4 linked regions of the Diceros bicornis minor genome follow. The protein of the gene in region 1 purifies or fractionates together with the protein of each later gene. This does not show direct contact. Links are inferred from orthologs where the notes say so. Each region holds a gene or a part of one and is shown in the gene's direction. Other genes may lie near its edges.

Evidence for each region.
Region 2: the proteins of histone H2A.Z (region 1) and ACTR6 purify together in Homo sapiens (affinity purification with mass spectrometry; 4 studies listed by BioGRID and IntAct, with this or other methods). This does not show direct contact. The link is inferred for Diceros bicornis minor from reciprocal best matches to the Homo sapiens genes H2AZ1 and ACTR6.
Region 3: the proteins of histone H2A.Z (region 1) and MORF4L1 purify together in Homo sapiens (affinity purification with mass spectrometry; 4 studies listed by BioGRID and IntAct, with this or other methods). This does not show direct contact. The link is inferred for Diceros bicornis minor from reciprocal best matches to the Homo sapiens genes H2AZ1 and MORF4L1.
Region 4: the proteins of histone H2A.Z (region 1) and bromodomain-containing protein 8 purify together in Homo sapiens (affinity purification with mass spectrometry; 4 studies listed by BioGRID and IntAct, with this or other methods). This does not show direct contact. The link is inferred for Diceros bicornis minor from reciprocal best matches to the Homo sapiens genes H2AZ1 and BRD8.

The regions. Positions count from the first base shown.
Region 1 is NC_080747.1:82,677,147-82,683,855, reverse strand, and holds histone H2A.Z, read left to right. Parts: upstream 1-4,038; 5' UTR 4,039-4,143; coding exon 4,144-4,146; intron 4,147-4,531; coding exon 4,532-4,609; intron 4,610-4,863; coding exon 4,864-4,977; intron 4,978-5,327; coding exon 5,328-5,457; intron 5,458-5,751; coding exon 5,752-5,813; 3' UTR 5,814-6,190; downstream 6,191-6,709. UniProt on the Homo sapiens protein: Variant histone H2A which replaces conventional H2A in a subset of nucleosomes. Nucleosomes wrap and compact DNA into chromatin, limiting DNA accessibility to the cellular machineries which require DNA as a template.
Region 2 is NC_080764.1:22,937,790-22,945,269, reverse strand, and holds the start of ACTR6 (actin-related protein 6), read left to right. Parts: upstream 1-4,471; 5' UTR 4,472-4,528; coding exon 4,529-4,596; intron 4,597-6,481; coding exon 6,482-6,599; intron 6,600-7,480. UniProt on the Homo sapiens protein: Required for formation and/or maintenance of proper nucleolar structure and function. Plays a dual role in the regulation of ribosomal DNA (rDNA) transcription.
Region 3 is NC_080744.1:71,150,672-71,157,986, forward strand, and holds the start of MORF4L1 (mortality factor 4-like protein 1), read left to right. Parts: upstream 1-4,297; 5' UTR 4,298-4,354; coding exon 4,355-4,394; intron 4,395-7,315. UniProt on the Homo sapiens protein: Component of the NuA4 histone acetyltransferase (HAT) complex which is involved in transcriptional activation of select genes principally by acetylation of nucleosomal histones H4 and H2A.
Region 4 is NC_080740.1:56,789,000-56,796,281, reverse strand, and holds the start of bromodomain-containing protein 8, read left to right. Parts: upstream 1-4,280; 5' UTR 4,281-4,585; coding exon 4,586-4,604; intron 4,605-5,830; coding exon 5,831-5,927; intron 5,928-7,282. Other genes in the region: kinesin-like protein KIF20A, read right to left, coding at 1-82, 169-356, 473-611, 1,204-1,323, 1,426-1,515, 3,334-3,498. UniProt on the Homo sapiens protein: May act as a coactivator during transcriptional activation by hormone-activated nuclear receptors (NR). Isoform 2 stimulates transcriptional activation by AR/DHTR, ESR1/NR3A1, RXRA/NR2B1 and THRB/ERBA2.

The DNA.
Region 1 (6,709 bases):
GGTCGATTTGACAGCCAATCATGTACTTATTTTGTAACTGTCTTATTGAAGTGATCTTAATGATTAGAGCATTTTCAAAATTTTCCTCCCTGTCTAATCCTCTCAGCTAGATCGAGGGAGGAACCTAGGCCCTATATATCCTGTCTCCCAACTGCTCTTGCCTGGCGTGTTGCCTGGCACGTTAGTGCAACTTAATGGCCATGTTTTAGTTTACCTAAGAGGCTGACAGCATCAAGCTGGAATACACCACATCTGTCCCTTTATTAGCAAGGGATTACGTATCCTGTGTTATGATGTGTGGTATTGCATCTCATCTCAGGTACATATGTACAGACAAAAGACGATAATACAATAAAAATAATGTGTTAAATGTCTACAAATATCTTCTTGCCATTATGTTAGAAATGTATGATAGGGACACTATTGTGCATGTGGATTTACAATTTAGCTGGAGGGGTAAAAGTTACAAAATACTAATATAGGAAAGTGAAATCTTATTTGGGAAAACAATATTAACACATAGACTCCCTCCCTCTGCCTAGCAAATCCTAGAGATCAATAATAGATAATGAAAGGATAATATAAGAAAAGACACTCGATTTTTTATATTAAAACAGCAAATTTCCAAAAATTCTGAGGACTGTTAAGTAAGGAAAAAATAAGTTCTGTATTAAAAGAGATAATGGGTCCCATGATCTTTGAATTATTTTTCCTGAAACGGCAGTGGATCAGGTAGAGTAGATTCAGCTGATCTTCTTGTAACCTGCGCCCTGTAGTATTTGTGAATTAAGTGTGTATAATCTGTGGTCATGGGAAGTGTATAACTGGGCAATTTTGCATTTAAATCCGTGGCCTTGGCTTCATCAACACTGAGTCAAACACACAGGCTTCTCTTAACATAATCATATTTATGTTGAGAATTCAGGGAGAATAACAGGTTTTGTGCCACAAATATTAAAACACCATTCCGTATATTCTTCATACTTCATGAAATCCTCTCACAGTTCTATGAGGTTGGCTTATCTGGTGCTGTGAATTCCTATTTAATAAATGAAGAAACCGTGGCTTAGAGTTTAACTTACTTCAGGCCATATAGCTAGTGAGTGGCTGCCAGACGCATTCTCCGCTCTTACACTCCAGGTCAGTATTTTGTATTCTACTGCACTGGAACTCAGTTATCAACCACTGAGCGAGTTGTTGAAGGTACATCCTTTCTTGGATGCTCTAGGTAAAATAATTGGGAAGTCGTTCCTATTTGCTTAAAAATAGATGTTTAAAGCAAGACGTACTTGAGAAATTTGAGATTCCCAAGTGTGAGACTCTCTCTCAAATTCTCAATGTAAAAAGTCAAGAACAGTAGTTAACATACATGCTAGTGTTTGAAAGGAGATAGTAACTGGTCATAGAAAGTCGGCCTGAGTTAGGGAAAAGCTATTAAGGAGAGAGTCAATAATATTAGGGCCATCGAATTCTTTGTTTAGTTTTTTATGACAAGAGAGCACTTATTAAGTAGCTAATTGAGTATGACATTGAACAAAAATAATTATATAGTTCTGGCTATGTATATTATATACATGTATTAGTATAAACACAAATACAGGGTAGATAACACAAGAATATTAATGTATTTGCACCATGCCTTTTCCAGAGCAGCAAAGACAGTAGAAAATCTTCACACAACTGTTGCGAAAAGTGGAGAAACTGATATTGTCCTGTTCTCCAAAGGAAGAGGAAAACTATTGAATGTAGTAAACCAATTTTGGATTTTAGTCTAGATGTTGGATGACTTGGGTGTGTACACTTTGGGCAGCTTTCAGGCTGGCTGCTTCCACATCAAAGGAAGGTAACGTACTAGACAGGAAAAAAGATTTAGGAATCAAAAATATTTTATTTCACCCCTCCCCAGCAACCATTGTAGAAGATAATAGTAGTTATCATTGAGTGCTTACTGTGTGACAAACGTGCTGGAGAGCACAGTGCATACCATCTCCTTTAATCTTTTAACAACCACGTGGAAATAGGTGTTACTACACCGTTTTCATAGAAGAGGAACTTGAAGCTCCAAAAGATTAGTAACTAAGATGACACAGTGAGAAGAAAGCAGTGTAGAATTAATTCATGTCTACCTGCTCCTGAGCTGTTCTCTTAACCACTATTCAGTGAGACAGCAGTGAATTCCTTTAGTTGGGCCTCATAGCAAAGAGCACATATTCTCTAAACTGGAAAAGGTATTAATGTTGGTTTGTGAGTTATAAATCAGGAAGTCTCCCTGGAGTGCAGGTTAACTATTACCTCAGGTTTCATAGCTTTTTATTGTCATTATATCAGTTCAGTGGGGAAACTGATTAACTCTTGCTATTGATGACATCATAAGAATGCCTCAGTTCCAAGGGCAAGAAATAATAAGCCTTAATGTCAAAATTGTTGGGAACCTCTTCTCTAGAATTTATCTCCCAGACACAGGGAGGTCCCTTAATTTGATAAGCTCTTTCAAATTGAAACCCAATCTAAAATACTTAAGAATACATATTCCAAAATTTCTTCACGTTGGAAATATTGAATTACGTTAATGTGTAATATGCTATTAAACACTGTAAATATTAAAGACTTAAATCCCTACTGTCTCTAAGCAGTTGGAGATGTACACAGGTGTTATTAATCTATTAGTTGGAAGACTAGCTGGCATCATGATAGTACTGTGCGTACAGTACTATTTTTTAAGCCCACCATTTGCAATTGATTACATGGACCATCTGTAACTGCCTGTGAATCATGTGGGGAGTTAGCCCACTGACATTTACTGAACATTTGTCATGTGGCAAAATGTTTAGGATAGAAAAGTTGACACAATAGCTTTGAGGTTTCACTAAATCAACTTTATAGACACCAGGCTATAGGCACAACCTACCAATAGTAGTTTGCAGAAAAATCTGGTGTACGATTCAATTAAAGAAAAGAATACCGGGCCAGCCCAGCGGCTTATGCACGGTCTCCCCTACCCGTGGCCCGGGGTTCAGATCCCGGGCGCGCACCAACACACCACTTCTCAGGCCATGCTGAGGCCGAGACCCACATACAGCAACCAGCAGGATGTGCAACTATGACGTACAACTATCTACTGGGGCTTTAGGGAAAAAGAGGAGGAGGATTGGCAAAGGATGTTAGCTCAGGGCCAGTCTTCCTCAGCAAAGAGAGGAGGATTAGCATGAATGTTAGCTCAGGGCTGATCTTCCCCACAAAAAAAAAAGAGACAAGAATACCGCCTCACCCAGAGCCCTCCCTACCTAGACCAAAAGGTCTTTTGTGTCCAATGAGATGACTGCTCCACGGTTTGTTCCTATGGAATTATCCGTGGGGGTTTTCAAAAGTGAAGAGGAAAGAGGAGGTGGGAGACACAGCTGAAAATGAAGTGGGACCGTGATCAGCTGGCGGCTGGGGACACGCAAAGGGGCAAGAAACGCAGAACCTCCATAGAGGCTGTGGTTTGCGGAGGCCTCCGGGCTCCTCTGACTGGACGGGTTCGCGCCACCTGTCACACAGGAGGGGAGGAGCCGCGGGGACGCGCAGGGGGCGGGGACGAGGGGCCCCGGAAGGAGGCTGTGGGCCTCCGGGGGTGGGGGAGGGGGCGGGAAGTACCCCGTGGCCACTTCACGTGGTCCCCGGAGCCCGCTAGGAAACCGGGGGCCGCCGCTCTCCGCCCCTCCCCTGACCCTCAGGGCCTCCTCCCAGACACGTGACCGCAGCCGGCAGGACTCCGCGCTGCCGAAGCAGAGCTCACTCTGTTTCTTCCCTCCCGCCGCCGTGCCCTTCTTCTGCGTTCCCATCCCTCCACCGTCCCCCACCCCCCTCCCCACGCCCCAATAGTGGTTGGAGCTTCGAAGCGCCCGCCCCTCCGCCCTTCTCTTCGCTTGCTCATTGGCTGAGTCCTCAAGGACGCGTCCCGAGGGCGGGCAGCGGCCATTGGTGGGATGAGCAATCCGAGTTCCCGGATGAGGGAACATTCTGCAGTATAAAGGGAGCGGGGAAGGCGGGAGACAGCGCAGTTTGAATCGCGGTGCGACGGCGGAGTAGGCGCCGGATCTCGCTGGGTGTCTGACTAGTCTTTTTTCTGCCTTGCTTGTCTGAGCTGCCGCAGAATTGGAAATGGTAAACTTCGCGGAGGCGCTCGAGGACCCCGCGGGTTTGTGCCGGCGGGAGGAAAACCCGTTAGACACGCAGACGGGGTGAAGTGGCGACGGTTGGGAGCGCGCGGAGACGGGCTTGCAGCGCGGGGGGAGGCGTTTCGTCGGCGGCGAGCGGAGCAGGCTCGGGTCTCGCGGCGGCGGCGGCTGGGTGGTGCGCGCGGCGCCGCCGGGGGCCGCGGCGGGAGCGGGCGGAGGCGCGCGGCCGCGGCGGGGGCCGGCGCGCGGCGGGCGGGGTGGGGACCGCGGGCCGGGCGGGGGCGGCCGCGGCGCTCGGCGCCGTGGGGGAGGGGCGCAGCCCTGGTAATCCTATCTCCGTTTCGGCTTGGCTCGGGGCGTGCGCGCCGCAGGCTGGCGGTAAGGCTGGGAAGGACTCCGGAAAGGCCAAGACAAAGGCGGTTTCCCGCTCGCAGAGAGCCGGCTTGCAGGTCAGTGGCGGTGGGCGCAGCTTGGGCATCGCGGCGGTTTTCTTCTCCCCCTCTTGTTTACCGTCGCTCTGGGTGGGCGGTGCGGCTTTGCGTGGGCGATGCGGTGTCGCGACTCGGCCCGCCGACACAATACCTCTCGGGGAGGGGCGGGCGCCTTCTGCGCCGGCGTCCCTGCGCTCGCTCGGGCGCGCGTGGGATTTCGCCGTCTTTGACTCTTGCATCTTTGTGCATTTATGTTTGCGCTTGGAATGAAGTTCCCGGTGGGCCGCATTCATCGGCACCTGAAATCTAGGACGACCAGCCATGGACGTGTGGGCGCGACTGCCGCTGTGTACAGCGCAGCCATCCTGGAGTACCTCACCGCAGAGGTAAATGGGTGTACGCCTATAATCTGGAAGAGGTTTGGGGGGGTGTTGAGGGAGGCGGCGAGAGCAAAGGAGGAAAGTGATGCAAGAAAACTCCCAGGCCCTGAGCGCGCGAGGAGGCTCTGAGAACGCTAGAGGGAGCTGGTGGTCGTTAAGGGGTCCTGCTGAGCTTGAGTTTGCTGCTCTTGGAAATAAAATTGCTGTATGCGTCCTGCCTATGGTTTTCGCATGTCTTGCTATTCAGGTAGTGGGAGGTGGTGACGATTGGTAGCTTTAATGAAGATTTGATTCTACTCTCTGGATCTTTACTTTAAGGAAAGAAGGAAGGAGATTGATTAGATTCTGCCTTCTAGGTACTTGAATTGGCAGGAAATGCATCAAAAGACTTGAAGGTAAAGCGTATTACCCCTCGTCACTTGCAACTTGCTATTCGTGGAGATGAAGAATTGGACTCTCTCATCAAGGCTACAATTGCTGGTGGTGGTATGTAAATACTAAAATTTTATTGTAGATTTCTTTAGAGAAGAGAATTCTTTTTTAGTTCTCATTGGTAATTTTTAGTTTAGAAGAGGACCCAAATATATTTTCCCTGATCTGCATTATGGTTGCATCCTTGAATTTTGTTTATATATATAACTTAATGAATTTTTACTCTGCATTCTTGAGCTACTGATTTAAAGACATCTTCCAAGTTGGACGTTGAACTGTCTTGGCTTTAAGTACTGTGTGATTTAAAAAAATGTATATTAAAAAGTAGAATTTCTGTCCCTCTCCTAGGTGTCATTCCACACATCCACAAATCTCTGATTGGGAAGAAAGGACAACAGAAGACTGTCTAAAGGATGCCTGGATTCCTTGTTATCTCAGGACTCTAAATACTCTAACAGCTGTCCAGTGTTGGTGATTCCAGTGGACTGTATCTCTGTGAAAAACACAATTTTGCCTTTTTGTAATTCTATTTGAGCAAGTTGGAAGTTTAATTAGCTTTCCAACCAACCAAATTTCTGCATTCGAGTCTTAACCATATTTAAGTGTTACTGTGGCTTCAAAGAAGCTATTGATTCTGAAGTAGTGGGTTTTGATTGAGTTGACTGTTTTTAAAAAACTGTTTGGATTTTAATTGTGATGCAGAAGTTATAGTAACAAACATTTGGTTTTGTACAGACATTATTTCCACTCCGGTGGAGAAGCTCAATAAAGGTCATATCCCAAATTAGTTGCGTTTTAAATTCGCTTGATTGTAATAGGAACTACTTTGTTTTGAATAAGTATCTCATCCAGCAATAACTTAAGCATATTTCTTTCCTTGAAATTAAACCTTTAATTCGGTAGATCAACTAAGTCAAAAGACCTAAGTGTAATTTTTTTTTGAATGTTATGTAACGAGCTATTGAAGATGTAAAAACTTGTGCAGGGGCTGGAATGGGACAAGTTACAGTGTTGGGCTGTTTCCAGCTCCGCTCTGGCTGTCCTTGCTGTATGTGCCAGTGCCGGCCCGCGGCCCTGCTGCTGTGGTGGACTTGGGGAGGGCAGGGCAGGTGGGGAAGTCCTGTATGTATCTGTCTCCACAGACGGAACTTTCAGTTCAGAATTTGTATGTGATGCGCTGTTTTAAAGTCGCCCTGAATTGTTCAATATTTGGTGACATCTTTGGGGTACATACTATTACCATTTCACAGAAGAGACAGGATTTCTGTCACTCCCGAGTTACGTTATCTGCTAGCATGGCTAACAG
Region 2 (7,480 bases), on another chromosome or scaffold:
TCGTCCTCTGTCCTGACGCCCGTGGGTGCTTAACTCCCAATCCCAGAACCTTGGGCTTTAGTCCTCCCTCCCCACCTTCTGGTCATGTTCCTCCTCCATCACTGAATCCTTCCACGTGCACTTCTCTTTTTCATTTCCTCAGAATTTGCTCCACAAACTGCTCTGCTTGCTTTGCTCTCTTTGCCTACTCGGCTTTCTTCATATTCTTTCCTCAGTGTCTTCTCGTTTGCTAAGGCATTCTGCCTTCCCCCGACTAAATGCTGCAATTTAATGTTTCCTTTGGTCATTCCAGTCCTAAGGGAAGGAAAAGTTGACAACGTGTCTTTAAATAGAGTCCAGGACCTGGGAATTAGAAGGCCTAAAATCAGTTCTTGGCTCTAGTGTTTTCTAGCTGTGTTAACCTGGCTAAAATAATTTCCTTACTTTTAGCCTGAATTGAGTCATCTACAAAATAGGTTAATAATATCAGCCTTACCCACCTTATTAGGTTGTTGTATCTAAAGAAATAAGGATGTAAAATTTCACTTAAAAATTTCTGTAAAAAGGAAGGAAATTTTTGAAATAGCGGGCAAAACTATTAGGTTCTGCACCTCCACCCCACCCAGCCCCAAACCACCTTTCTTCAGAGGTGAAAACGACCCCCCAGAGATGTCTAAAAGAGGGTAAGAAATTACACTGCCTCTGAGGAATGTATCAGGAAGGTGTGTGGGTATGTGCGGGGTGGGGTTCTGGGGGGAGTAGTTTACACATAGTCCAACAACCTGGCCCTTTTCAAAGAGAAAGGAGATATATGTGTGTTGACTATTTACTCACTTAACATTTATCATGCACTATAAACTAGGCACTATTCAAGTATCTAGGGTTGCCTAAACAAAAACAAAAAACCTGCTCCTGCCGTGGAAGAGTTAACAGCCTAGCATGGGAGGTAGATTCTTGGTGCTCTTGTCAGTAGACTCTGGTTCAAATACTAGCTCAGCCAGTTTGTAGCTGTGTAAACTTGGGCAAGTTATTTAATCTCTGTCAGCCTCAGTTACCTCATCTATTGGAGAAAATATTAAAAATAATTAACAGAATTTTGTGAGGACTAAATGACATTATGCATATAAAGTGTTCAACAAAATGTCTATCATGTGGCAAGCTCTTAATAAGTGCTATTATTATTATCATTAGTATTGTTGAAATCAGAAGCAAAGTGCTATGAGAACACAAAGGAGGGAGTGATTCATTCTATCCTGTTAAGTCAGAGATGGATTTACAATGGAGATACTACTTCAAAGATAAGACTAAGTCAGCTTAATGTCTTAAAAAAACTGATCCTGAAGTCGAAGACTTAGATTTGAAACCTAGCTCTGTGGATTTTTTAGCTATGTCATCATAGGAAAAGGATTGAACTTCTGGAGCGCCATGACGTTATTTACCTTCATGATGTTGTTGTGAGGATTAATCAAGCTACTGAAGGTAAAGACTTAGAGAGTGCCAGACACAATAGAATGGTAGCTATTATTATTAATTCACTAGGCAGAAAATGATGTTTCAGGCAGATGGAACACAATTATGAAAAAGGACAGAAGTGTCAGTGTCCAAGTTCTTCTAAATGGCAAGTGGCCTAATGTTGTGGCTAGAACAAAACATGGATTCCTTTTCAAAGTAATAAGTCTCAAAGAACCCCACAGGTTAATAATTGTAGTTATAGTATCTTTTTATTGAGAAAATACATGGTAATAATTTCAATTTTACTCTCCCTGGATTGAGAGAACACATAATGTCACAAAACCAACATAAATTCAGTGTTTTAAATTAGTTTACATTTTGGTTAATTGCTTTTTAATTATCCAAGTATAATTTTCAAAAATTTAAAAACATGACTGTCATACAAATATATAATGAACGTGCATCAAAGATTTATTAACTTATATTAATGCAAGAACCAAGAAGATAGGGTATAAAGCTAGTTCACTCATTAATATGACAAATAAATCTGTTGCACATGTTCATTATTTATTTATTTTTATTATTATTATTATTTTTTGCTGAGGAAGATTCACCGTGAGCTAACATCTGTGCCAATCTTCCTCTATTTTGTATGTGGGTTGCCACCACAGCATGGCCACCAATGAGTGGTGTAGGTCCGTGCCCAGGAACCAAACCCGGGCCGCCAAAGTGGAGCATGCCAAACTTAACCACTTTACCAGCCCATCATTATGTATTTATATCAGAGTCATGTTTTTTAACTCTTTTAAAACTATACATTGCTAAAATATACATGTACATACATGAAAATTAATATTTATATATGTGAGATTATTTGTGCTAAAACCTGGGAGAGGAATGTGCATGGTGTGCAAGTGAATGGAGTTAGAGCTTTTACTGAAAAGTCTGTGCTGAAGCTGGCTCATACTGGCTCATGAGAACCAATTGTGTGCATCTCTTTCCAATTCTGTGTTTGGTATTTGGTAACCTCAGGATAGCTTGAAATCAGCCATTGTTACAATATTTACACCACAGAAGGTAGTAAACACTACAAATCAGGGCTTTTTTTTCTTCCTGGAGATCTTGTTAAACATTTACCAGTACACACTGTAAGATGGATTTTAGGGGAATGAGATTGCAAATGTATAGACATTATTTCACAGGCAATGTCAAGCCACGGAAGACTTCTGTGGTGAGTGAATTTAGGGAGAATGATCAATTTTCTGATTTAGAAAAATATTTGCTGATAATTATGCTGGCAGTACAGAGGACAGATCACAATGAGAAGAGAATGGAGGCAGCAAGGGCATTGAGAAGGCAGTGGCATTATTTCAGGTGAGAAGGCAGTATCAGTAGAGATGAAAGTCAAGGACAGACTCCAGAGATTAAGTCAAGGATTGAGGTTGAAGGTAATTGAGATTTCTAGCTTGGGGCACTGGGTAGATCTTGGGGGCACAACACTAATTGAGATAAGTAATATAGCTGGAACAAGCAGTTTTGGAGATAAGACTCAGTTCTGGATTTGTTGCCTTTAAGGTTATCTCAGGATATCTGGGTAGAAACATTCAGATTACAGTTAGGGGTGGAAATTCTGCTTTAGGATTTATCAGTACGTAATGAGAGCTGAAGCCAACAACAAAAATGATCTTGAACCAAGAGCGAGTAAGTTAGGAAAGCAAAAAGAGAAGCTTAAATGACAAAGGGTAAAGACAAATGATAACCAGAAGGAGAGACAGAATTGAAAGAGCATGTTTTAAAAGATGAGAATGAATAGAAATGATGGCTGCTCTATGATGTAAGATTTATAAAATATTCTTTCCATGTTTGGAGTTTAATCAATTTAATATTAAATTAGAGAAAATAGAATGACTAAAATTGAGCATTTAACAATTTTTTGATACAAAGGGATATTGACACCAATCAAGTGCCTGACTTCAAGGAGTTTGCCATCTATGCAAGTTAACAGAGAATGATCATATAAGAGGAGGAGGAGGAGGATGATAACTACTACCAGGTACTTGACTTTTATAATTTACTTTTCATAAAACAATTCTGCAAGGGGGCGTTATTAATATAATTCCATTTTACAGATGAGGAAATTAAGGCATAGAGAGGTTAACTAACCTGTCCAAGCCATCTAGTGGCAGAGCCAGGATTTGACCCAGAAATTTGAATGCAAAGATGGCACTCCTAACCACTATCTCTTTGATTTCAATAATAGTACCTACTTCATAAATTGTGAAGATTAAATTAGTTCATATATGTAAAGCTCTTAGAACTGTTTACCCACAAGCATTAAGTAAGTGCTATGTATTAACCATTATTATCTTCACCGCCCAAGGTTACACAGACATTATGTGGCAGAGTCCGGATTCCAATCCAAAATTCGTTCTCTTAACCATTATGATATTAAAGGAGTTTGCCCTAGTCAGATGTCGAGAAGCGTTTTTAGCTTCAGATAAGAATGACACAGAGCTCTGTCCCGAAGAACAAGTAGACAGAGGAAGAGTAAGAGAGTGAGTGGAAAAGCAAGGCGGCTGACAGAACAACATATTTGTATTTCAGGGTGGTCGGCTCCTACAGTCGGATGGGCAGTTGCGGGGACTGAGGGTGAAGAGATCTCAAATCCAATTCCATGCTGCGTATGGTTTTGCACTTTATTCTTCAAGAAATGTCACTGTGTGAACCATACTATTCGAACACACACACACACACACACACACACACACAGCTGGTTCGCTACAGGGGGTTGGAAGAAACTTGCAGGAGCGAGTCAATCTGCGAAATAAAGAACAAATACGCAAAGGGAGATAAAGCACTCAGCAGTTTCCACTCTTGTTGGATCTCGCCACGACTTGTATGGGTTAGGCTTGGAAGCACGCTACAACTCGCGCTGACAGGCAGGGCGGCAGTGCGGTCTCTGACTTCCGGCGTCCTCCGTTGCTAAGAGAGACCGGAAGCGTCCTTACGCCCCGCTCTTGCAAACCATAGAGTGCCGGAAAACGTGTGAGCAGAAGGGACGGGAAGAGAACGCCACGGCGCCGTCGTTTGTGCTAAAATGACGACTTTAGTGCTTGATAACGGAGCTTACAATGCCAAAATCGGTTACAGCCATGAAAATGTCTCGTAAGTGTTTGCTTCCTCCGAGGGTCGAGGCGTATATGCCTAGTAGTTTCACATGCTACCCTTCATCCTGGGACATCAGTAAACTGCAAACGCCCCCGCGCGGCCTTAAGCTGAGCCAGAGGGATGCTCTTGTTGGAGCTGGGTGGTTAGGACGCTTTGAAGGGTGATTTTAGTGTTCATTTTGGGCTACGTGGCCCCGGAAGTGGGACGTGTGTTTCCTTTCGTAACAGGAAATAGCTCAGGAAAATAGTCTTGTAGAGAAGCGGTTGGACACCAAGTTCATGAACCCTCAGGAATCGTGGGCAACATTTTGTGTGTATATGCATCTTGTTTGGGACGCGGCTGTAGCTTTCGTCGGATCTTTAAAAGGTTCCATGGCTTTAAAAAAAAGTGTAAAAACCACTGTCTTAGTGGCTGGAGACTTTGAAGAGTTTGAAATTCAAATAGCATTAAACTGGTGAAGGTAACCACAATGAGAAAGGCTTTGTGCCTAAGCCTTTCGAGGTGCTCATTGGGTGACCTGGTTGATTAGAGTCAAACAGAAATACAATGGCATTCGTAATATATGTTTGAATAAAGAGTAAGCAGATTTAAAGACACGCTTTTCTTCTATCATATTCATAGAGGATTTATTTTTCTTTTCCTTTCTCCCTCTTTTCCTTTTTGTGTTTTAAGAGGACAAACTGTAGGAATGTAGATTGTTACAGTCTTCTGGAAAACATTTTGGCAATGTGTATCATTCTTCTTATTCTTTGACACAGCAATTCTATTATCAGTTATCTAAGGAATAAGAGGTATTTGATAAAAGTAAGTACAGGATGCTCTATATTATTTATAGATATTGTGTATGGTAGCAAAAAAAAGTGGAAAGCAACCTAAAAAATCAAGAATGGAAATTGAGTAAAATTGTAATACAACCATAAGATTGACTACAATGAAGCTTTTAAAAATCATATCCTCAAAGAATATTTAAACATATAGAGAAAATGACAGCATAGTAAGTGAAATAAGCAGGTACCAAACATTTTTACAGTATTATCCTAATATCTTCCCTCTCTCTCTTTCTCTGTATGTATACACACACGTATATATACATATACATATGTACGTGTGTTTATGATTGATAATGGCTCTAGTTTGCCTTCCTAACTAGATTGTAAGCTCATGGTGGGCAGCAACCATATTTAAAACTACTTCCTACTTCTGTACCCTATAGCGTCTTGCTGATTGAAAATCTTTGACTTCCGGGCTGGCCCGTGACTTAGCGGTTAAGTGCGTGGGCTCTGCTGCTGGCGGCCCGGGGTCGCATCCAGGGTGCGCGCGGATGCACCGCTTTTTCGGCCATGCTGAGTCCGCATCCCACATACAGCAACTAGAAGGATGTGCAGCTATGACATACAACTATCTACTGGGGCTTTGGGGGGAAAAAATAAATAAATAAAATTATTAAAAAATATATATTAAAAAAAAAAGAAAATCTTTGACTTCATGGAAACTTAATTTCATGGCCAGAATTTTGAACTTGTAAATCTTTTACCAGAATGGTAGTAAGAATTTCTGCATTCAAGTCAGAAAGACCAGGAACTTTACCTAAGCCCCAGCTCTCATCTGTGCAGTGGCAGAACCAATACCCGCCTGTAAGGATTCCTTGAGGATTATTTGAGAAAGATAAAAGGTCCAGTATAGAACCTGGTATATACTAGAACCTTAAAGAAAAAAGAAGACTTTTTTTTATTATTTGAAGACAGATTGGGAAACTGCTTTTGCATATTTTGGGGGAAACTGCTTTTGCATATTTTGGCATCGAGGGTGATGACTAAGTAAATGTATTTTTAGGAACTAAGTATTTAGGGAATAATTATATTATTTGTTTCTTTATTTATAGGGTTATTCCTAACTGTCAGTTCAGGTCAAAAACGGCGCGACTTAAAACTTTTACTGCTAACCAGATAGATGAAATAAAGGACCCTTCTGGACTCTTTTACATTCTTCCTTTTCAGAAGGTAATTCAACTATATGTTATTTCTAGCATTATAGACCTAAATTTAAAGATAATTTTTAAATGTATGTATAAGATTTTGTATGTATGAAAAAATTTTTAGGTCTCTGTTAAGAGTTATTTAAATTTTAAATAAGATCTTTTTAAAACCAAAAATTGAAATTAAATTGTCTTGTTAAAAATAAATGACCCTGGTTTAGTTACTGATTGTGGGTACTGAATTTTACTTGTTTATGTTAAAGCTAAACGAGATGAACACATTAGAGAAAATAAGTATAGGGGCCGGCCCAATTTCATAGTGATTAAGTTCCACGTGCTCCGCTTTGGTGGCTCGGAGTTCGCAGGTTTGGAAACCGGGCATGGACCTTCACCACTCATCAAGCCATGCTGTGGTGGTGTCCCACATGCAAACTAGAGGAAGATTGGCTGTAGATGTTAGTTCAGGGCTTCTCTTCCTCAAGCGGAAGAGAAGAGGAAGATTGGCAACAGGTGTTAGCTCAGGGCCAATCTGCCTCACCAAAAAAATAAATAAATAAATAAAAATATAAATCCCTTTTATTTTTGGTGAGGAAGATTGGCCTTGAGCTAACATCTGTGGCCAGTCTTTCTCTATTTTGCACGTGGGACACCACCACAGCATGGCTTGATGAGTGGTATAGGTCCGTGCCTGGGATCCAAACCTGCGAACCCCCAGCCTCCGAAGCAGAGCACATGAACTTAACCACTATGCCACCGGCCCGGCCCAGCCTCCCTTTTAAAATATAAAAAAAAAAAAAAGAAAAGAAGTATAGAGAGGTATATCTACATATTGTTATTTCTTTTGAACCCTTGACGTTTTGGTTATTGTTAATTTGTAATTTTTTGAACCTTTAAAAACAGAAAAAC
Region 3 (7,315 bases), on another chromosome or scaffold:
GCTTGATCTCAAAGGATATTTTGTTCTTATTGTTGGCTGATAATTTATTATGTTGACTAATGATTTATTACTATTTGTACTAAAAGAATATATTCAAAGATATACCAAATCAAACACATTTTATTCTCCCATAGAACTCATATTTGAAAACTTTACATTCAATTATTCTATAAATGAATTTAAGAAAGTGTGTTAATTCTCTGTGATCCAGTTTCTTCAACAAGTAAATGTCAAGAAAAAGAAAGAGACAAACAGAGTCAACTCAATTAAATGAAATGCAATGAAATGTGTGGACTGTGTTTGGATCCTGATTTCAACCAAGCAATCATAAAAAAACATGTATGAGACAATCGGGGGAATCTGAACACTGACTGGATACTTGAAGATATTAAGGGATTATTATTTTTTTTTATGTAATAATGGTACTGTGTTAAAAAGGGCCTTTATCTTTTAGGGATGCCTACTCACTTGTTTATGAATGAAATAGATATGATATCTGGGATTTGTGTGTAGGTATTTGGGTGGATGGAGGAATAGGTGGGTATAAATGAAACAAGATTAGCCACATGTTAATACCTACAGAAGTTGAATGATGGATACACCATGGTTCATTGTACTATCCCCTCTGCTTTGGTATGTGTTTTTAAATTAAAAAACTATTTCATTATGCAAAACCAAAAGTGTCCAAGGAAACAAGTAACCTCTTTGTCCAGTGATCAAATTTAGCATCACTAATGAGACAACCAGACATCACGTGCCTCCTGATGTGATGCAATGAGAAGTGCATAGCATCAGCTATAACATATTGTTAAAAACACTCAGATCTAATCAAGTCTTGAGACCTAACTTTAAGTTTGTAGAAAATACAGAGAAAAGAGAAACGAGTTAAGTGACACCATGAATAAACAATCAGATAAATCCAGAATGTCAGACATTCAAAAAGCCTCAGTTTCTTCAAAAGCAAATGTCATGAACAAATACTAATACCACTAATAATAAGGTGTATATGTGTGGGTGGACTGTTTTTGTGCCAAGGGCTCCGCTCCCACCCCCATGGCAGTCTGGTGAAGCCAATGAACACTTTTTTCAGAATGTTTTTAAGTGTACAAAATAAAAAACATAGGATTATAAAAGAAAACAATTATATTGAAATACAGCTATCAAAACATCTTAAAATATGATATGGTAATGTACATGCTTCATTTTTAATGCATTAAATAACAAGATCTAACAGCAGGTCTAATAAGTACAATAATTTCAAAGGAATGATGAATGTAAATATCTCTGAGATATATGTAGGAACTGTAATGTGATATGAAAACATCTGATTTTTATTGTGACAAAGCCACGTGTGCTGCTGATACTATTGTAGTTTGGTACCTTCATTTATAACAAAAGGAAATGCTAAATTTCACAAGTTCGGTGAAAATCAAGATGTAAGTTTTTCCCATCCAAGTTCACGGACCCTTTGAATTGTATCCATGGACTCCTACTTTAAGAATTTCTGGTCTAGAACGTTAAAAAGATGAGCTCTAACAACCAAATGCAATACATTGTCATTTAATGGATCCTGTTTTGAAAAAACAAGCAACAAGCATACAAATATAAAAATATTTTAGGAACAAGTGTGGAAATGTGGAGTAGAAATCGTATAATTTTAGGGAATTATTGTTAATCGTGTTGGGTGTGACAACAGTATTGTGGTACGTAGGAGAATGCCTTTCTATTTTGGAAGTACATACTGAAGAAATCAGACATGATAGGTGCTGATACAAGGCAAATACGGGAAAATACAATTGTTGAAATGAGATGATATATAATGTATTCTTTCTACGTTTCTGTATGTTTGAAATTTTCATAATAAAATATAAAATAAAGTGACTTTTGAGATATTTTTATTAAGGCATAATGTGGATAAGATAAAGTGCATTACTCGTAAGTGTACAGCTTCATGAATTTTACATAGGTAAACACCTTTGTAACCACACCAGATCAAGATATAGAACATTTCCAGCTCCCTGAAGTTCCCTAAGTGCCCGTGTCCAAGTCAGTGCCCCCTTCCACTCCAGTTAATCATGCTCCTGATTTCTAACACCATCGATAAAGTATATTTCTTTGCTGTCTGGTTTCCTTTGTACAACATGTGTTATATTAACACAAAATTTTAGAGACTGGTATTACTTTGTTAGGCAAGGATGTCGCAAAACAGGCCTTCTCCTAAATTGCTGGTTGAAATGTAAATTGATGAAGCCTTTCATAAGACAGTTTAAAATGCCCACATCCTTTGATTCAGTGATTCTACATCTAGGCTCTTAAAAAAAATAAAAGCAGTGTGCACAAAGATTTAGGTTTGAAAGACGTAGGTTTCTAACAGTGGAAAATTGAAAGCAACCTAAATGTCCAGCAACAGAACCAAGGTTAGATAAATTATGGTCTATTTATACTATGGTATGTCATGACCAATTAAAAATGTGAGATGGACACATGTAATTGGAGTGATCTCTAAGTCATATCGTTAAGTTAAAAAAGAAGAAGACACAGAACAATACGTACAGTCTATTTACGGTAAAAGAAAAAACAATAGGGAGTACAGAAAAATGTCCATGCCAACTGATGGGGAAGTAAATGAGGGAAAATAAAAGGATTCTTGAAGTTTTGCCCTGTATTTTATACTTGTGAATTGTTGCATCATGAACAACCCAAATATTCAAGTATCACTTGTATAGTTAAAACAAAGGCAAAAAATTAAGTTTAATATAAATAAAGAACATAATGAGGCTGCTAGGATAAAGAACTCTGCAAGGATCCTCCAACAACTGTAACAGTAGTACCTTTGTTGCGGGAATGGGCAGATGAGGGACCGAGGTGCGAAAGGAACTTTTCACTATCTTCATTTTTATATTTTTAAAATTTTGAATTATTGAATTATTTTAAAGTATTTTTATTCAAAAAGTTTAAAAAAGAAGTGTGCCGGACAGTTTGGTTGGGGTCACAAAGAGGCCCTTGCCCCTTTCTTTGATACTTGAAGGAGTAGTACCAGCAAGGTGGTGTATAGACAACTGGAATGGCGGTTCTTTGTGGATTTCTGTGGCCCAAGAAGCCATTGTGTTGGAAGGAAGATGGAAAAAGAAACCGGAGTCAGATAAATGGAGAGGAGTCTAGAATTGGTGGGATGCATAGCACGCTCAGGGGCGGGTTTAGAACAGCCGTGGAGACAAGTGTAAGGCCTGAGGGATGGTTGAGCACTGCTTGTGGACGCACTTGAATGCCAGGCTAAGGACTTTGGGATTCCTCCTCCTCAACGTTTGTTGAGCACTGATTCACTGTTAAGCACCGCAGAAGCCTTTCCATGCAACTATCACAGTAAACCGATGGAAAAGTGCTATTATTCTCCCCATTTTGCAGCTGAGCAAACTAAGGACTTTTTGAACATGGGAACGACATGAGGAAATTCGTTTAAGTTGTGTGTATATTTAATAATAGCCCAAAGAAATTAGGTGACAAAAGATTGCACAAATAGGGCAAGTGCAGAACTCCCGCTTAGATATTATACGGCATTTTTCGCGTTAGCCTCTTTCGGTGGCGCGCAGAACTCCATTATCTCGAAAAGCCAAAGCTCGATCCCCAGCCTGCCTAGTGTCTCCCATTCTTCCTCATTTCCTGGAAAAGGGTATGAGCAGGCGCCGACAAACGGCCATTAGTGCCACCAAATAAACTGGCAGTGAGCTTGCTAACCAACGAAACTTCTAGACGCCGACTCCATTTTCTGGCCAGACTGCTGGCCCTAAAGCTGTCCTATGCAGAAACTACTCGAGATGCTTTTGCAGGTAGGCTTCAGAGGCAGCCTTTTCTCTCAGGCCACTTCAAAGCCCACATCATTGTGGCCCTATATTGCCCATGGGACTCCACAACTGGGCTTTTCCCATTCTTTTATCGCCGGTGATGCACACCGCCACACTTCCCCTCGCACCAACAACGCACAAAATCAAATCCAGGCTTGAACAACCCCTGGCGGTCCGGGAGCAGGTAAATGGGGAATGGGGGGGGGGGGGGGCCAGGGGCACCGCCCTTCCCCCACCCCGCGGCGCCTCAGCCGCCTTGGAACTACCAATCCCGGCGTGCCCCGGGGCGGCGCGGGCGCAGGGGCGCGTGCGCGGCGGGCAGCCGTTGGCTGGAGCGGCGGCTGCGCGGGTCGCGGTGCTGTGAGGTCTGCGGGCGCTGGCAAATCGGGCCCAGGATGTAGAGCTGGCGGTGCCTGACGGCGCGTCTGACGCGGAGTTGGGTGGGGTAGAGAGTAGGGGGCGGTAGTCGGGGGTGGTGGGAGAAGGAGGAGGCGGCGGCGAATCACTTATAAATGGCGCCGAAGCAGGACCCGAAGCCTAAATTCCAGGAGGGTGAGTCTCGGCCTTTTGGGAAAGGGCACCTAACGGCGCAGGAGAGGGAGGCGGGCTTGATGTGGTCGAATTTGGGGGCCCGGGGGCGGCCTGGGCTGCGCCCCGAGACGGCGGCGGGCAGGGCTTTGTGCAGAAAGCGCATTGCGGCGGGTAGTTTCGGTGCGTCATTGGGAGAAGACGCCGTGTGAAGCGAAAGCGTCCCGCGGGCGTGCGAGTGGGAGAGCGCGCCTGGCGCGTGGCAGAGCCGTAGTCAAGTGTTTGTTATTGTTCTGAGGAAGAGGGCGCGGAGAAAGTAGCCTATTGTCGGGCGGCGACGGGTGCGCCATGGCGGCGCTGAGGGGAAGTGATGTGGCGGAGGGGAGGGGAGGGAGCGGCGGCCGGTTCGGGCGCTCGCACGGGGTCTCCGGCCGCGGGGGCGGCCAGCGGCGGGCGCTCCGGAGCCGCCTCGAGCCCCAAGGTGGTGGCGTTCGGTGGAGCCTCGGGGCTGCGGCCGGGGGGTGGGCTTCGCGCCCCGCGGCGGGAGAACTGCGTTGTAAAATGGCCGCTGCGAGATGGCTGGCGCATCATGGCCGCCGGCGCCGGCCGCGGCCGCAGCTCGAGGGCAGATGCAGCGCCCCCTTCCCCCGCGAGCGCGCGGAAGCCGGTTCCCCCGCGCCGACCTCGGGGAGAGGGGTAGGGGCCGGAGAAAGGAGCAGGGGCGTCTTTGTCTGCTTTGTGTCGCCCGAAGGCATCGTTTTGCTCTCCGAAAAGCCCGGTGCCAAGATCCGAAGGGAGAGTGCGCGCGCTCATGCTGTGCGATTGCTTGTATAAAAACAAATAAAAGCTCCTTTAATGCAGTATTGTGATGTTTCCATTTATAAGTCCTATTGCCTTGATGTCATCTTTTAAATACAGCAACTGTTTGATTAATTGCAATAACGTTTAATAGTAACTTGAAAGTTGAGATTTTTATTAATTGGGTTTTGATCGACAGGTCTTGGCTGACGGTGGAACCTGACTTCCAATGGAAGACAGCTCTTTAATTTTCACAATTAACACATGTATTAATGTATATTAAAGTGGAGGCTTTATAGTAAACTAAAGTGGAAATAAAACGCAGCAGGAACGCTTTAAAATTACCTTTTCATTGTTATGAATATATGTGCTAGTTACCATAGATGTCCAGATGTCTGCAAAAAAATTTTCTTGTAAGGATTTTCAAACGTTAATGTGCGTTAGGATTACCGTTAGAGTCATATACTCAAACCCCAAGTATATTGTAACCTTATGGAATATTTAAGAGTTTTTCAAGGGTATTTTTGATAATGACAGACTCTTAATACCTGCCTTCTCCCGTTTTGAGAAGCTGTGACTACCTCCTATGGATTCTTTTTTTTAAATCGCGTGTTTTAGAGCAGAGATTTTAAATCTAGAGTTAGTGGATTTAATTCAGAAGATCCGTGAACTTGGACGGGAAAAGTTTTTCTTTTTTTATTATCTAACTGAAATTTAGTATTTTAATTATGAATGTGGGCGCCCCCACCCCCGCCAAAAGAAAAACCTAGCAGTAGTAGTGGCAGTGTGTTTTCATATCCCAGGGTTTACAGTTGTGGGAGATATAGTCGGATGTCACTTATGCTCCTCATTACTTCAGAATTATGATAGTTACTGGATCTGCAGCTAAATGTTTACTACATCAATTAAAGAGCTCATGTAATATAGAAAATGATATTTAAAGTGTTTGGTAACTATTCCAATACAGTAGATTTCCTTTGTAGTACTGTGTTTTGTGTGTTCATAAAAACATTTTAGGAAAAGTCCTGTAGCCTTCACTAAACTGTCGGGTCCATGGCACAAAAAGTTAATCCCTACTGTAGGATATCAAAGGAAAATCTCTGAGGCTTGGAACAGTCAAGGATGGCTTTCTGGAGGAAGTGCTTTAGTTCTAAACTTAAAGAGATGGTCGAGTGAGGGGGGATAACGGCGTAGGGAACTCCATGTGCTGCTATTGTGGTGAAATAGAGAAGAATAGGAACCAAGGTACCCTTATTAAGTAAGGTTTTGAAAGCTACCTAAGAGAGTCTCTGCCCTTAACCATCACTTTCCAGATGTGTTTTCTACTCTTGTGTCAAAGCTGAGTTGTATAACCATCTTTAAGAAATTATAGTTAGTTATTTTTAAGACATACTTAGAGAATATATTGTAGGAAAAAGTAGAAATACTCAGTGCCAAGTATATCAAAATGTAGAAAAATCAATGTAGTGGAAAAATGAGTTATCAGAAGTAGTATTGTTTTCCTGATTCCTTTAAACGCCCAAGTTTTTCTCATCTAATAATGGTACAGCATATGCTGTCAGCAATTTTTAAGCACAGTGACTGTTTTGCACTGCACTTGAAATTCTGTTAAAGCATAGGGTAAAGAAAACTGTTGGGCGTCTAGCCCATTGTCAGAGGGAAGGCCCTTTTGCCTTGTCAGGAATTGAGAGACTGATGCGGGCTTTTGAGTGATGTTCCTAGTAAGCACAAACCAATGGGAAGATGGGGAATTGGAATCTCATCAACCTTGAATTTGGGAGCATTGGGCAGAATTACCTTTGTAGTTTGCTGGAAAGGATTAAGAGTGGAGAAGGATCTAAAAAAATGTATCTATTACAGTGGTTTGCTCTTTCCCCAATTGCCAGTCTTTCTCTCCACTTCCATAATAGGCATTTGTTATTCTGTGGTGCACTCCCTAGCTAGCTGTATATTTTTTCAACAGTATTAGGGCCAGGTTGCTAGAATGGAGGTCAAAATTGCACTTAGCATCAGTGCAGTTTTCTTTGACAGCAGCAGCCAGAGGGGGGTGTAGGGCCATTTTCAGGGTGCCTTTAAAGTGTACCTGGAAAGTGAAATTAGGAGACAGAGATCTGATCTTTGGTGCTGCTGTTTATTAATGCTGTGCC
Region 4 (7,282 bases), on another chromosome or scaffold:
CAATACCACTGTCAAAGCTGGTGCTGGTACCCATCCGACTTTCAATGTAGACACTCTTCTTCAAGGAGGTGGACAGCTCCTCCTGGAGGGGCCCAGGGAGAAGATAAGTACAAAACTTTCCAGAGATTTGTCCCTCTATCCCCATCTCTATGAACACCAACGCTTCACCTCTTGGAGGCCTCCATTTAGCAGGGTCAGTTTCTTCATTTCTTCCTGCTGGATCTGTTTGCTGTCTAGCCAGATTACCTCATTGGAGAGCACGGGCTTCAGATCAGGGGTTGGATGAAGCTGGCCTTGGAGGCTTTTGAAGATCAGAGCCAGGGACCGGGGCAGGATCCCTCCATCCTTGACGGTACCTGGAGGTATGTGAATGACAGATAGCTGAGGCAAGTGCTGTTCCCCAACTCAGAGCATCAAAAGGCAAAGACAACACCATTACAGGCCAGTCAGGAATCCTATGAGGCCTACTAACCTTGAATTGTGTGGGTTTTCCCTGAGTTGGTGACTCCATATGTATAGATGAGCCAATTCTGCCCTTTGAGTACGTCCTTTACCATCTCCTTCACGGTCAGGTTGAAGAAGGATGCCTGTCCCACTTCTGGCCCAAAGATCTAGAGACAGACCCAGTTTCTCAGAGGCCCATTCTTCATCTCCCACTTGCCTCCTGTGCAGAGCCAGCAGATACATCCCTTTTTGGGTGGCTGGCTCTGGAGACTACTCAAGCAGCTTCTTCCTGCAGTGCTGCCAGCTGCTCCCTAAACACTGCAGACTCAACCACTCTCTGCCAGTCCATCTTTCATCCAAATCAACAAATACTTAAGGAATGCTGTCCACTAAGTCCGATGCTGCACACACAATGGGACAACATAATGGTCACAAGTGTGGACTCTGGAGATGGATGGATCTAGATTCAAGTCCTAACTCTACCAATGACTAGCTACATGGCTTCAGCAACATTACCTTCATTGAGCCACAGTATCCTTGTCAGGAAAAATAGTGACAATAATAATAATAATAATAATGAGTTGTTGGGAATTAATTCATATAAAGTACTTGACACATTGACTAGCACACAAGGGTCCCCAAAATTGTAGACATGCATATATAAGGAACTCGTAGTGAAGTAAAAAGCTTTCCCGCTAAAGAGGGAATGAAGTACCCCCTACACGTTGGTCCCTTGTTCACAGACCAGTACCTCCGTACCTGGGAAAAGGTGAATCTGTGGGTTGCTTGTCCAATTCCCCGCTCATTGCTCTTCTGGGCAAAGGAGTCCTTGGGTGCCTGTAGAACAAGGGTCTCCACATTCTCAATATGGACACAACCCTGAGAAGGGGGAAAACACAGTTGTCACAGAAGGAAACGTTCCTGGGAACCTCTTCTGTACTGCATCATTCTACCTTGAATCCTCCCTCCTCAGAAACTCACCTGATCCTCCTGTCGTTCCAACTCTGAAGGTAACAAGGGCCTGACCCTCAGGTATACTTTCACCTTCTCTGTACTATCCTCAGATGGAACCTGTGGCAGAATTCCAGGCCGGAACTACATATTAATCTCAGCAGTTATTTAAGATTGGCAAACATAACACAGTTCCTGGTAATCACGCTAACATTCTACCTCAGATGTTTCTGTGCAGCTACTCTTTGGTTCCATAATCATTCCAACACACATGGACTTTTCCACTACTTTATCACCCTTCCCTGTCTCTTCAGTATCCTGAAAACCTGGCTTAACACACTGATTATCTGAGTTAGAACTGTTGACCGGTATGAAAATCAGCCTGTGATATTAAGGCAAAGCACAGTAGTTAGGCACCTTGGAGGCAGACACACCTGAATTTGAGTCCCAATTCCATCATTTAGTAATTTTGAGACCTTGAAAAAGTTATTTAGGGCCGGCCCCATGGCTTAGTGGTTAAGTGCACGTACTCCACTACTGGTGGCTGGGGTTCAGACCCCGGGCGCGCACTGACGCACCGCTTCTCCAGCCATGCTGAGGCCGCGTCCCACATACAGCAACTAGAAGGATGTGCAACTATGACATACAACTATCTACTGGGGCTTTGGGGGTAAAAAAAAAAAAGTTCTTGAAATTTCTTTGCCTCAGTTTCCTCATCTATAGAATGGGGTTATAATAGCACCCACCTCATTCATTCAACAGATATTTAGAGAGCTGCCTACTATGGCCCAGGGACTATGGTAGTCCGCAGTGAGGGACATTATCAAGGTTCCTGCTTTCATGAAACTTTCTCTATAAAAGAGGAGACTTCTAAGTGGAGCTGTTCTCAACCAGGGCCATTTCCCTCCCAAGGGAACTTTAGTAATGTCAGGAGAGTAGTCTTGGTTGTCACAAGTGGGAAGGAGCTACTGACATCTAGTGAGTAGAGGCCAGGAATGCTGCTAAACATCTTACAACGCACAGTACACCCCTGTATATCAAAGAATTATCTGGCCCCAAATGTTAATAATGCTGCAGCTGAGAAACCCAGCTTAGCAGAAAGAAAGGCTCCATAAATGGAAGCAATGGCTGATTTTAAAACCTGAATGTACATTCCACCTACTTGATGGCTGTATGACCCTATGCAAATTATTTAACACCTCTGGGCCTCATGGTGAAGGAGAGAGAACTATTAGCCTTTCCTCATAGGATTACCTGAGAGTATGCACTGAGGGTGTTTCATTAATGCAATGCAAATAATACTTCTCATGGACACACAACTCTACATTTTTTACTTGTCATCTCTTAATTTTGAATTGATCTCTCAGACCCTCAGGATTGCTGGTTTTTGACTTCATACTACTCTGTATGGACAACTAGTAGGCTGAGGATATCACTTTCTGCCCCCAAACTACTGAAGGGGAACAGAATATGCCACCCCAAAATGTGCCACTCTGGCAAGTGGATTATTGTGAGCTGAAAGCAATTATGATCCAGCAGACTCAAGAAAAACTTTACCTCTCCCTTAACTGTCTAAAAGATTTTACAGAGGGGGCCTGGCCCAGAAAGAGAGCTATTACCAGAGATAACTTTTTATCTGAAAGACTTATCTACATGGCAGGGCAAACATTTGATTACCAAACATCTGCTCTTATTATCTTCCTGTGAATTGCCCTCCTCCCCTTTGAAACCCCAGGTCCCTATCCCATTCCTTAGCTCAGGATGGCATCTAAGCCTCAGTTGCCTGACTGCCTGTATGTACAAAATTAAATTTGTTTTTCTCCAGTTAATCTGTCTTACGTCAGTTTAATTATTAGAACAGCCGAAGAACCTAGAAGGGTAGAAGGAAAATTTTTTCTGCCTGGGTACCCCAAGCCATTCTCCAACCAACTCCTTTACCTGCTGCTTGTCTTCCAGGGAGGTGGAGATGACAGAGCAGTCTGACAGGAGGTCCTTGCGTACCACAGACCCCAAATCCGCAGCTGTGGACTCAAACATGGGGGAGACTACGACCTCCTCATCTGATAGCAAGCCGGCTGGCGGAGAAAGGATCCCTTGCGACATGACAGCAGGGGCAGCTTAGGTCTAAAAAGAGACAAGGGTGGGTAGGGAGGAGAACCTTAGGGGACAGAGGGGCTGCAAATTCTAGGTAAGAAAAAAAAATTCCCTTGCCCCAGGACACCTTGGTCTCGCTGCCTGAATTCCCACTCCCTTTTCCCTTCAACTACCAGCAGAGGGGAAGGGGATGGGAGGAGTTAATCATTTAATCCAGCCTGAGGCAGCATTTCCGACCTCGAACAGGAATGAACAGATATCTGGCTCCAAAAGCAGAAGGCCACGATCCAAGCAGGGTGCCTTGCCCACCGGTGTTGTGGAGGTAGTGTCAGTAGGCTAGGTTCCTTCTCCAACCTCGGCCGGAGGCCCACAGTGAGGACAGAGGTATTAAGAAAACAAGGGATGGCAGCAGCACCGCTTTCTGAAAGCCTATTCCGCGAGGGCAAGAGCTGGTACTCCAGCTGGGCTCCAGCACAGCCCCACACTCACCTGAAGACGCGACACTTGGTCCTTCTCCGGTCACTCACACTCTGCCACCGAACCTTGATTTTCGCCGCCGAACCTGGACTTTCGCTGCCAGAGAGCACAACTCCGCCCACGAGGCACACCTTTTGTTACTGATACAATGTTTTAAATTACGCGCTGCGTTCGTTCGGCCAATCAGATAGCGAAGCTTGCAGCTACCAATCAGCGCAAGGAAAGGGGGCGGGCGAGGCTGGGAGACCGTTTGCTCGGGGCTTTGACTTCTCCGCTCTAATGTGGGTCCGGGTTACCAACTGTCGGAGTTTGGAGTTGGGTCGGCTGAAATCCTGCCCGCTTAACACTTTTTCTTGAACCCTAGGTATTTCTTTTCTAAGAAGCCTAAAGGAAATCCTGAGGCTTCAGCCGCCATCCTTTGTTCTTCTTTAGCACATTCCTTCCCAGGTGCGCACAAAGAGACCTGGTTTAGGGTGCTTTTTCGTCGCGCGTTGGGGTGTGGGACTCCATTTCCCAGGAGGCACCGCGAACAAACTCCCGGACTCTGCTTCCCAGAGTTCCCCGGGTTTCGGCCCTGCTAGGCTGTCTCGCCTCCGGGGTTGGAGACATCGGGGCCAAGATGGCTACAGGAACGGGCAGTAAGTATCTGGGCTGCTTTTGCGTGGAAGGCGTTTGTAGAGCGGAGGCCAGGCGCCAGATTTTCTGCCACACGCTTAGGGAGTAGGAGCAATGATTTGCCTGAGAGCCCAGGGTCTTCAGAGACCTTTGCTCGACGGTGTCGTGAAGGCCAACGGTTAGGGGCCTAGCCGTGTTGAATCTTGTGTCTCAGGGAGGCCGCGGAGATTTGAGAGAAGCAGCTCAGTGAATCCTTGTGTGTTTGGGAGCTCTGTGGGGTGAGAGATAAAGGTGCTCTAGAGACTCGGACACGCGGGTGGAGAAACGCTGTGGGCCATACGGAGTGGCCGGCATTCATTTTCTGACTAACGTTTGTGAGGCCCGGTATTTTAACCGAGAGCTTTTTGTGCCATTGGGGAAATTGGGTTTCATGCATCTCAGCCATTTTCGTGTGTTTCATGGATCGAAGAGGTCTTTTAAGCCCGACAGCTAAAGGGAAGTGGAATTACTGAGAGAAGTAAACAAGTTTTTGCGAAGGAGGCGGGGCAGTGGGGGCGGGGTAGGGGGGGTGGCGCTCGGAGTCGTGGGAAATAAGCCCTTGCGTTCAAACTGGAATAACGTATTCTTAAAACTGGGCGTTTTGGGAGAAGTGCCTTAAATATAAGGCGGTTCTCCCAAACTGAAGGGAAACTGACATTCCCCCCACGTTTTTTTTTTTGAGTAAAGCAGAGTAGACATGGCATTCGAAGAAATAAAATCTTTTGCCAGATAGAGTACAATTCGCATGCAGTCAATAGGGACCGCCTCAGTGGTTGCATTTTACTAGGAAGATGAAAATCAAGATTTGGTGATAGCTCTCTTTGTCCTTAAAAGTTGGTTGTATTGTTTTGTATTAGGCGTCTAGTCCTACCTTTGGGGCTTTTTTTTTTTTTTTTTTTTTTTTTGGTGGGGATGCTCAGTCCTGAGCTAACATCCGGTGCCAGTCCTCCTCTTTTTTTTTTTTCTTGCTGAGGAAGATTGGCCCTGGGCTAACGTCTGTGCCCATCTTCCTCTACTTTATATGAGACTCCGCCACAGCATGGCTTGACAGGTGGTGGGTTGATGTGCACCCGGGATCTGAACCTGGGAACCCTCAGGCTGCCAAAGCAGAGTGTGCACGCTTAACTGCTGTGCCACTGGGCTGGCCACTTGCCTTTGGGGCTTAGAACCACTGTCTTAGTGGTTGTCTCTAAGCCTTCTCTCATTTCAGAACACAAGCTGCTGAGTACTGGCCCCACAGAGCCGTGGTCTATCCGAGAGAAGCTGTGTTTAGCGTCTTCTGTCATGAGGAGTGGAGATCAAAATTGGTAAGGTATCTAGGATGTCTCCTTTCATGGGTCTTAGAAACTGTTGGGTATTTTTTTACACTGATGGATTCCATACTAACCTTTGAGAAGTATTTCTTTTTTAACAGCTTTATTAATTCACATACCATAAAATTAAGCCAGTATAATCACAGAATTTAGTGTATTCACAGAGTTGTGCAACCGTCATCACAGTCTAATTTTGGAACATTTTCATTACCCCTAAAAGAAACCTCTTACCCCTTAGCAGTCACTCTGCAATCTCCTCTACACCTCCCTAACATCCATCCCCCCACCCCTAGGCAACCCACTCATCTACTTTCTGTCTCTCTAGGTTGCCTATTTTGGACATTTCATGTAAATAGAATCATAATTTGTGGCCTTCTATGACTGGCTTCTTTGACTTAGTGTAATGTTTTTCGAGGTTCATCCAAATGGTAGCATGTATCAGTATTTTATTTCTTTTTATGACTAAAATAATCCACTGTATGGGTATGCCACATTTTGTTTATCCACTCATCAGTTAATGAACATTTGGGTTGTTTCCACTTGTTTTGACTATTATAATTAATGCTGCTATGAACATTCGTATATGAGGTTTTGTGCAGATGTATGTTTTCAATTCTTTTGAAAGAGTGGAATTGCTGGGACGAATGGTAACTCTATGTTTAACTTTTTTAAGGAACTGCCAAACTATTTGTAAAGGGGCCCCACTGGTTTACATTCCCACCAGCAGTAAATGAGGGCCCCAATTTCTCTGTGTGCTCCGCAACACTTATTGTCTGTCTTTTTGGTTATAGCCATACTAGTGAGTGCGAAATGGTATCTCATTGTGGTTTTGCTTTGCATATTCCTGATGACTAATGTTGAGCATCTTTTCATATGCTTATTGGCCATTTGTATATCTTCTTTGGAGAAATGTCTGCTCAGATCTTTTGGTTTATTTATCTTTTTATTATTGAGTTTTAAGAATTCTTTCTATATTTTGGACAGAAATCCCTTGTCAGATAGATGATTTGCAAATATTTCTCTTATTTTGTGTGTTGTCTTTTCACTTTCTTGATTGGTATTTTTTACAGCACAAAAGTTTTTAATTTTGATATGTCCAATTTATCTATTTTTTCTTTTGTTGCTTGTGCTTTTGGTGTCATAGTTAAGAAACCATTTACTTCTATATTTTCTTTTAAGAGCTTTATAGTTTTATCTCTACACATTTAGGTCTTTGATCCATTTTGAGTTAATTTTTGTGTATGTTGTAAGGCAGGGGTCTCTTTTGCATTTAGATACCCAGCTGTCTCAGTACCCAGTATTTGTTGAATTGTCTAGGCACTCAATATTTCTTTTTTTTTTGTGTGAGG